Drosophila melanogaster: one gene and its partner. The gene in region 1 interacts genetically with each later gene. Each region holds a gene or a part of one and is shown in the gene's direction. Other genes may lie near its edges. The genes, in order: Or42a and pdm3.

Evidence for each region.
Region 2: of Or42a (region 1) and pdm3, changing one suppresses a phenotype caused by changing the other (phenotypic suppression), as found in Drosophila melanogaster (one study listed by BioGRID).

Annotation. Positions count from the first base shown.
Region 1 is NT_033778.4:5,791,086-5,795,012, reverse strand, and holds Or42a (odorant receptor 42a), read left to right. Parts: upstream 1-2,045; 5' UTR 2,046-2,049; coding exon 2,050-2,825; intron 2,826-3,010; coding exon 3,011-3,368; intron 3,369-3,430; coding exon 3,431-3,517; 3' UTR 3,518-3,572; downstream 3,573-3,927. UniProt on the Drosophila melanogaster protein: Odorant receptor which mediates acceptance or avoidance behavior, depending on its substrates. The odorant receptor repertoire encodes a large collection of odor stimuli that vary widely in identity, intensity, and duration.
Region 2 is NT_033778.4:8,325,626-8,329,552, forward strand, and holds the start of pdm3 (pou domain motif 3), read left to right. Parts: upstream 1-1,864; 5' UTR 1,865-2,382; intron 2,383-3,927.

The DNA of each region.
Region 1 (3,927 bases):
TGACAAGAATTGTCAACTAATTGAAAAATAGTTCGTTGTGTAAATACTTTTGACCACCTCTGTATTTGAAAAACAAAAAAGAATGCTTAGTCAAGTTCCCCGACTATCAGATACCCGTTACTCAGCTAGTGGGAATGCGAACGCAAAATTTCATAATTTTTCTGGGATATCGATAGATAGAAAGAAAAATTTTAAAAATTGTTTAAAAAAGTGGACCGTTAGGAAAATGTGGGGGGAGAGGCGTGACCAGTGTTTTTGGTATACCGATAAAATTTGGGAAGGCAAACAATTAAACGAAGTTAGAGTGGGTGTAACAAAAAGATATTTGGCCCATCGATAGAAATTTACAAGCCTAATAAAATTAAAAAAAAATATCCAACATGTTTTCAAAAGCTAAAGTTATAAGTTCATTAGTCTTCATGATTTGACCGATTGGGAATTTCCTGCTGCAGAGTGTATATGGTATGGTAGTATCATCGGATACATAGTGTGGTATCGAAATACTCTATAGCTTTATCGCAGTAGTTCCTTGGTCCACGTGCATTTGTAAACGTTTTTTTGAAGTGATCCCATGCCACCAATAAATCGCGTTTCTTGCGCTTTGGCTTTCTATACTTTTATTTGCTCCTCCCTTAAAACTGTTAAATTACAAATTCCATCTATAAAAACCATTGTATGCATATGGACGTGCAGGTATGTATACATTAAAAAAATAGCAGACTCGGCCTTTGGGTTTCCAAATGTCTCACTCTTGACATTCGGCTTTTCCCGGACTTTTAGCTCTTGGTACCCCGGTACACTAAAACGAACCGTAAACCGTGTACATTCCATTAGCAGCGAATCAATACATAGTACTGATCGCAATCGGTTAACAACGGAAAATTGTGCATGACACCGTTCGGAAACAAACTTGAACAGCGTTGGCGTCATTAGAATCTGTATGCTTAGTCTAAACGTCTTCAGCTTTAATACAATAGTTTTCAAGATCACAACATAAATAGAGACAGACAGATAGTTTGGATGGTTTGACTTGGCTAGTGATCCGATCAATAATATGGTCGAGATCTTTGGAACCATAAATGCCAGAAGGTTGAGGTTAAGCAGGTACAGATTCTAGAGACATAGACGCAGCGCAAGTTTGATGACCCATGTTGCCACGCACTCTAATGCCCACAAATCACCCAAAATTGCCACGCCCACACTTATGAAAAATGCTTTGATAGCTTATCATATTTCTATCGATTTGCCAAAAAAAAGTGTTGTCCCCTTACGTCAACAAACCTCACACTTAAAAAATTTTTTTTGCCCTTTTATCGTTTTATTGTTTATCTAACTAATTTCAACCGATTTGACAAACAACTTTTTGGCCACACCCACTTTAATGCCCAATGAGAAAAATTTTCCTAATTTTATTCCCCAATATCATTTTTGCGTTTGCAATCACACTAGCTGAGTAACGGGTATCTGATAGTCGGGGAACTCGACTAGATCATTCTCTCTTGTTTCCTCACAAATTTCTATTTACAAAATATTTTAAAAAATGTTGAAACTTCTCGTTCGCACTCCCCACTAATGGTTTAAATAAATATATTTTAATATTATTATTATTTTTTCTATATTTTCCATAAATGTGCTACCGATGTCTTAAACAGAACACAAATGCAAACTAAATCCTCTTCTTTGTGAACGATTGCAGCCTGTTAATTTTTTCGTCGTGCTAAGGGAATCATCATTTATTAATGGAATAGTGTAAACTTTTACACTTATGTGAAGCGTTATCCAATGGGCTTTCATTCTTTAGGTCATTTGAATTGTGTCAACCCTCTGCAATGACTAATAGAGAGAAGGGTATTTCAATCTATACACTGCAGACTTTAGTAAACTTTATTACCCCTTGAGTAATTGATTTCCACAAACGAGTTTTCAAGTGTCGCCTATGAATTATCTAATTGACGATTGATGGACTTATAATCACGCCATTGGCGGCCCTATAAAAGGACATTGCAGACGGTGCTTTAGTTCAATTGTTGAAATTAGAGTGCATTCACTATGGATCTGCGAAGGTGGTTTCCGACCTTGTACACCCAGTCGAAGGATTCGCCAGTTCGCTCCCGAGACGCGACCCTGTACCTCCTACGCTGCGTCTTCTTAATGGGCGTCCGCAAGCCACCTGCCAAGTTTTTCGTGGCCTACGTGCTCTGGTCCTTCGCACTGAATTTCTGCTCAACATTTTATCAGCCAATTGGCTTTCTCACAGGCTATATAAGCCATTTATCAGAGTTCTCCCCGGGAGAGTTTCTAACTTCGCTGCAGGTGGCCTTTAATGCTTGGTCCTGCTCTACAAAAGTCCTGATAGTGTGGGCACTAGTTAAGCGCTTTGACGAGGCTAATAACCTTCTCGACGAGATGGATAGGCGTATCACAGACCCCGGAGAGCGTCTTCAGATTCATCGCGCTGTCTCCCTCAGTAACCGTATATTCTTCTTTTTCATGGCAGTCTACATGGTTTATGCCACTAATACGTTTCTGTCGGCGATCTTCATTGGAAGGCCACCGTACCAAAATTACTACCCTTTTCTGGACTGGCGATCTAGCACTCTGCATCTAGCTCTGCAGGCCGGTCTGGAATACTTCGCCATGGCTGGCGCCTGCTTCCAGGACGTTTGCGTTGATTGCTACCCAGTCAATTTCGTTTTGGTCCTGCGTGCCCACATGTCGATCTTCGCGGAGCGCCTTCGACGTTTGGGAACTTATCCTTATGAAAGCCAGGAGCAGAAATATGAACGATTGGTTCAGTGCATACAAGATCACAAAGTAATTTTGCGGTGAGTAAACGGAAATAATGTACATATAAATATAAATTAGGGTGCACTGTGGAAAATTCACGCACTTTTTTGGGACAAAACTTATTTTCTGTTGGGCTAGATCGACTTGATTTGTGATCCTGGTCGAAAATATATTTACCCTTAAAATGTGGCAACCTTTTTCAATACCATGACCTCTTTTACAGATTTGTTGACTGCCTGCGTCCTGTTATTTCTGGTACCATCTTCGTGCAATTCTTGGTTGTGGGGTTGGTGCTGGGCTTTACCCTAATTAACATTGTCCTGTTCGCCAACTTGGGATCGGCCATCGCAGCGCTCTCGTTTATGGCCGCAGTGCTTCTAGAGACGACTCCCTTCTGCATATTGTGCAATTATCTCACAGAAGACTGCTACAAGCTGGCCGATGCCCTGTTTCAGTCAAACTGGATTGATGAGGAGAAACGATACCAAAAGACACTCATGTACTTCCTACAGAAACTGCAGCAGCCTATAACCTTCATGGCTATGAACGTGTTTCCAATATCTGTGGGAACTAACATCAGTGTAAGCAGATGTGCCCTTTAATGAAATTTTTGACATTTGTTTTACTCTTGGTTTCCTTGAAGGTCACAAAATTTTCGTTCTCCGTCTTTACTCTCGTAAAACAAATGAACATATCTGAGAAACTTGCCAAATCTGAAATGGAAGAGTGAAAAAGTTTATTCGAATTTAAAATCACACATGAAAGAAATTAAAGTACACGGTAATAAAATTTTGATAGTTTTTTAACACTGTTGCTAGCGGGTTGGGTACCGATTTTTAAAATTACTTTAAATTAAACAAAAACACTACTGCAATTAGGTAAGGTAATGTAAGGGTTATGAATTTCATAGTTTCCTTTTTACCGCAACATAATATAATATAATCATGCGTATCTTGAAAAATATATATTTATTTTTTGAAAAGTGAGCTTTAAACCTACTTGGTACTTATCTACATATAAAGAGCAGGGAAATCTGAAGAGCAAATACCATTACAGCCGTACCGGGATAGAGCTAGTAAATTTTGGAATATCAATAAAAATTTCCAAAAATTAAACAAGAGAGATTGCTATAGTCGACTT
Region 2 (3,927 bases), 2.5 Mb from region 1:
CTGCCCCCTGGAGGGGTGGGAAGGGGGGCGGACTGCGGCGGGGGCTTGTCTAGTGACTTGACTGTAACCTCATTGACCAGAAAAATGCAAGCGGCAACGGCAACAAGCGCAGACAACAAAACATCAAATGTGAATTAGTGCAAAGGTAGCCAAGGAGCAAGGATACACCTAAAAAATTTATGATTGTTAGTGTTGATAAAAAGAAAATATATGTACACGTAATTATTACAGTGTATTATATGGAGAATAAAAGGTATAGTAACCTACGTGCAATCAATAATATCAGTAGTATCCAATTTATAAATTAATAAAATAAAAATAAAATATATTAGTTACTAATTTAACTAATGTGAAAATTTAAAATTTAATTTTATGAAATTAATGTTTTTGTAATTTGGATCTAATTATCACGTTCTTTTTATGTTACCCAAAGTGAGAACCGCCTTTCTTATAAATTGAATTGAAATTTGGTAAAGTTTTTGCCAGTGGAGATGAAAGAGTGCCGAAGAAGGAGCAGAAGACGTGGCAGAGAGGGATGGCAGAGAATTGGGTGGAAGAGTGGGAGGAAGAGTGGGCAGAACAAGGCAAAACGTTTCCATATTTATTGGCACTTTTCGGTTTTCTGGAAGCGGTTCGAGCCGTTGCAAAAGGGGCGGAGGGGTGTGGTTCACTAGACCCGGCACACGTCACATTGTGGGTGGGTGGGAGTTGGAGGACGGTGGACGGAGGGCTGGAGTGGTAGCAAGAGGGTTCTGGGCTTCGAGTGGGGTTTTGACCGACGAGCTGAGTGACTGGAGCTTTTGGCATTGGCTCTGCTCTGCGGATCGAGACCTAAATTATTAATTCCCAGCAATAGTTGTCGAGGGGTCGAGCTGGGGTGAAATTTCGGGGCATTTGACAAGTCGTCTTGTGATGCATATCACAGGTTTGGTTTATCCAACAATTTCCTCTGAAGCTTAAAATAAATTCTAAGTTGTTGTGTGTTGAGAGAGGTTGTGGCATTTATTAAGAAAATCATAATTAAGTTTCTAAATTGGTACGATAAAATGAAAAATAAAAATAAATTTTATTGATTTTTAAATTGCGGTGACTTCCTACTTTTCCATTATAATTAAGCATTGTTAATTTGTACAAGTGGATTTAAAATTATGTCAAACAGTTTAAAGATTTTGAATATTATTTTGCAAATCTCCAAAGATATGTATGTAGAATCTAAATGCGCTCCCACCGTTCGGTGTAAAAAGTGCAATGTTTAGCTGTAATAAATGCTCAAAATGCGCTCACAAAAGCGCTCACCCACACTCGCGCCCTCTCCCTCGCGCGACCGCTCTCCTTCTCTTTCTATCTCTGCCTCGCCGTCGTTAAGTGCTCGCCTTTCGTCAAGTGTGCAACTTCTCCTTCTCAGAACAACAGTTATAAGCTCAGTCTGCGCCGGCAGCGCTGTCGACGTCGACTGCAGCAGCAGCGCCGCTCATTTGTGCGCTTAATGACGTCATTATTTTTATTTTAACAGTGCCAAGCAAATTGCATATATACCGTTGCTGCTCCTGCGCAGTCGGCGCTCTGCCGGCGTCGCTGCACCGCCAGTGGGGCTTGGGCTAGGGGGTGGGCGAGAGAGCGACAGAGAGAGAGCCAGAGCGAGAGAGAACGAGAGGCAGTGAGTGAGAGAGACCCCGGTCGCTTTCTCGCTCGCACCCGCTGAGCTGGGCCTGCGGCTTCGGGTTCCTCGCCTTCGTTTTGTTTGCTCGTGTTTGCCGATGTTGTTGCTGCTGTTGTTGCTGCTGCTCCTTTGCTGTTGCTACTTATGCTGATGATTGCGATTGCTGGGGGTCCAAAGCGCCGCTCGTGCGCCACACGTTCATTCAGTCGACGGACGACGCTGCGCCTGAACGTACGACGGCTGATCTGAACCGGAATCGCATTGAACGGCCACATATATCTTGGACGCCCCTCGACTCGTGCAACAAACAAACAACCAAAGTGCAACATACAATACCCAAGCAAATAAACTTCGGCGTGTGCCCACGATTCATCTTTAACAGCTGCCACTGCAACTTTTGAGCCCCATGTGTTTTGTACAGCCGTTGCTCCGCGATTTTTGAATCCGTTTCGAAACTACTCAGTTCCGAATTTTTGGCGCGTTGCGATCGTCTCATCTGAAGTGCGTGGGTGATAACCATCTGTCAGATACTCGTTGCTACACTCATAGGTACTCATGAATACTTTGAATACAGTGCTCAATTGTGATAAGAGTTAAGAAATTACACATCAAAACCAAACGACCATTAAAAGGTGAATGAAAAACAGGATTCAGGAAAAGCTAGTGGAACATAAAAACTCTTTCGTTGATTTTGGCAACAGCTTGCGAATCTGTAAATAACGGTAAATATCTCAAAGTACTTGATTTAAGCTCTTGTGAATTTATATTATATGTTTTGAAGAAGTATATCATGCAATTGACTATCATCAGTTTAAAATCTTTTATGGGAACCAAATTTTAGAGGTATTAAAGTAATTATAAATGGTCTTCCCAATAGTCTGAAACAGTTTTTTTCACATATATATATATTCACATGTATATAATTGATTTACTAAAATTAATTGTAATATCATAATAAAAGTAATTTTAAAACTTTTATATATATTTCTGATTTGATAAAATTTCCATACGCCAAATTTTTACGTGTGTCAGTGGTTGGACATTTTAGCGGATGAATTTCGGAAATATTTAAATAAATCTCAAAATTTCCGGCTTATTACAAAGCTTAAAAAATCTGCATGGCTGAACGTTATGGCAGCTACTCAACCCAAAATGGTAAGCTAAATAATGGGGCTGCAATAAAAAAAGACATTTAAGTGAAGTGCTCATCATCATTATCAAGTTAGAAATATCAAACCTTTTTAGCCTCTCACGCACTCCACTCACTCGAATATTGCTCGAAACAGCCAAATGCAGTTTTTATGTAAATCTCAACCCTGACATGGTAGTATGCAAAAACCAATAAATTGATGCGATTTCGCTGCAGGCGGTTAATAACTTTAATTAACGTTAATTTTATCAACATCAGCATTATCGTTGGACCGGCATGAGCATGGGGGCATGTGCATGAGCAAACTTGGCGAGGGTCTCAAAAATAGTTGCGACGTTCTAATAATAAAACCAAATATAATAAATAGCCACAAACAAACTAATAATACGGCTCGACGGCAGTGGACAGTGGCAATTTGCAACAATGAGGCTCATCAAACGATCGCTAAAACGAAATCAGAATGAAACTCTACACATAAATAGTTTAATGTGCTGAGCCTTGCGACTGCTGCCACCCCACGAAAAATTACTAAAACGTATTACAATTGACTTGCCGGTGGCTCAGTGTCATTTTTGCAAAAAATAATCTAAACGTATCTATGAGATACAATAAACAGCAGCAGCGGCGCACAATTCGCACTAACAACAGCGCCAGCGGGCGTAACAACAATTGTAATAATCAGTTTCATTTCAAAGCCGCACCAACCTGCGCTACATTTTTCCCACTGTCCAAGCTCTGCTTGGATTCCCCTCCCCTCAGCTCCACTTTGGATCCCTGCTGCCGCCGCCGTTTCCACCGATTCAACCGATCCCAGCGATCCCGCAGATCCCACCGCCCTTCCCTCATCGGCATCCGAGTAGAAAACGTATCTATGCAGTGCATTGTTAGCGTGGCCCGCTCATTTAATTAAATATAATTAGCTGCATTAATTGCAAATTAATACAGAATTTAGCCTCTTTGTTGCCTGCTCCATTGTCGTTGCCAAGCAGAGTTAGCTATTGCCATTGCCCTGCTCCCAACTACACATTACACACGCCTCGTTATCGTTGGCAATTATTTAGCGAGAATTAACTGGGCTCGCAGTTGCACTGGCCCCCACAGATGCATTGGCCAAACT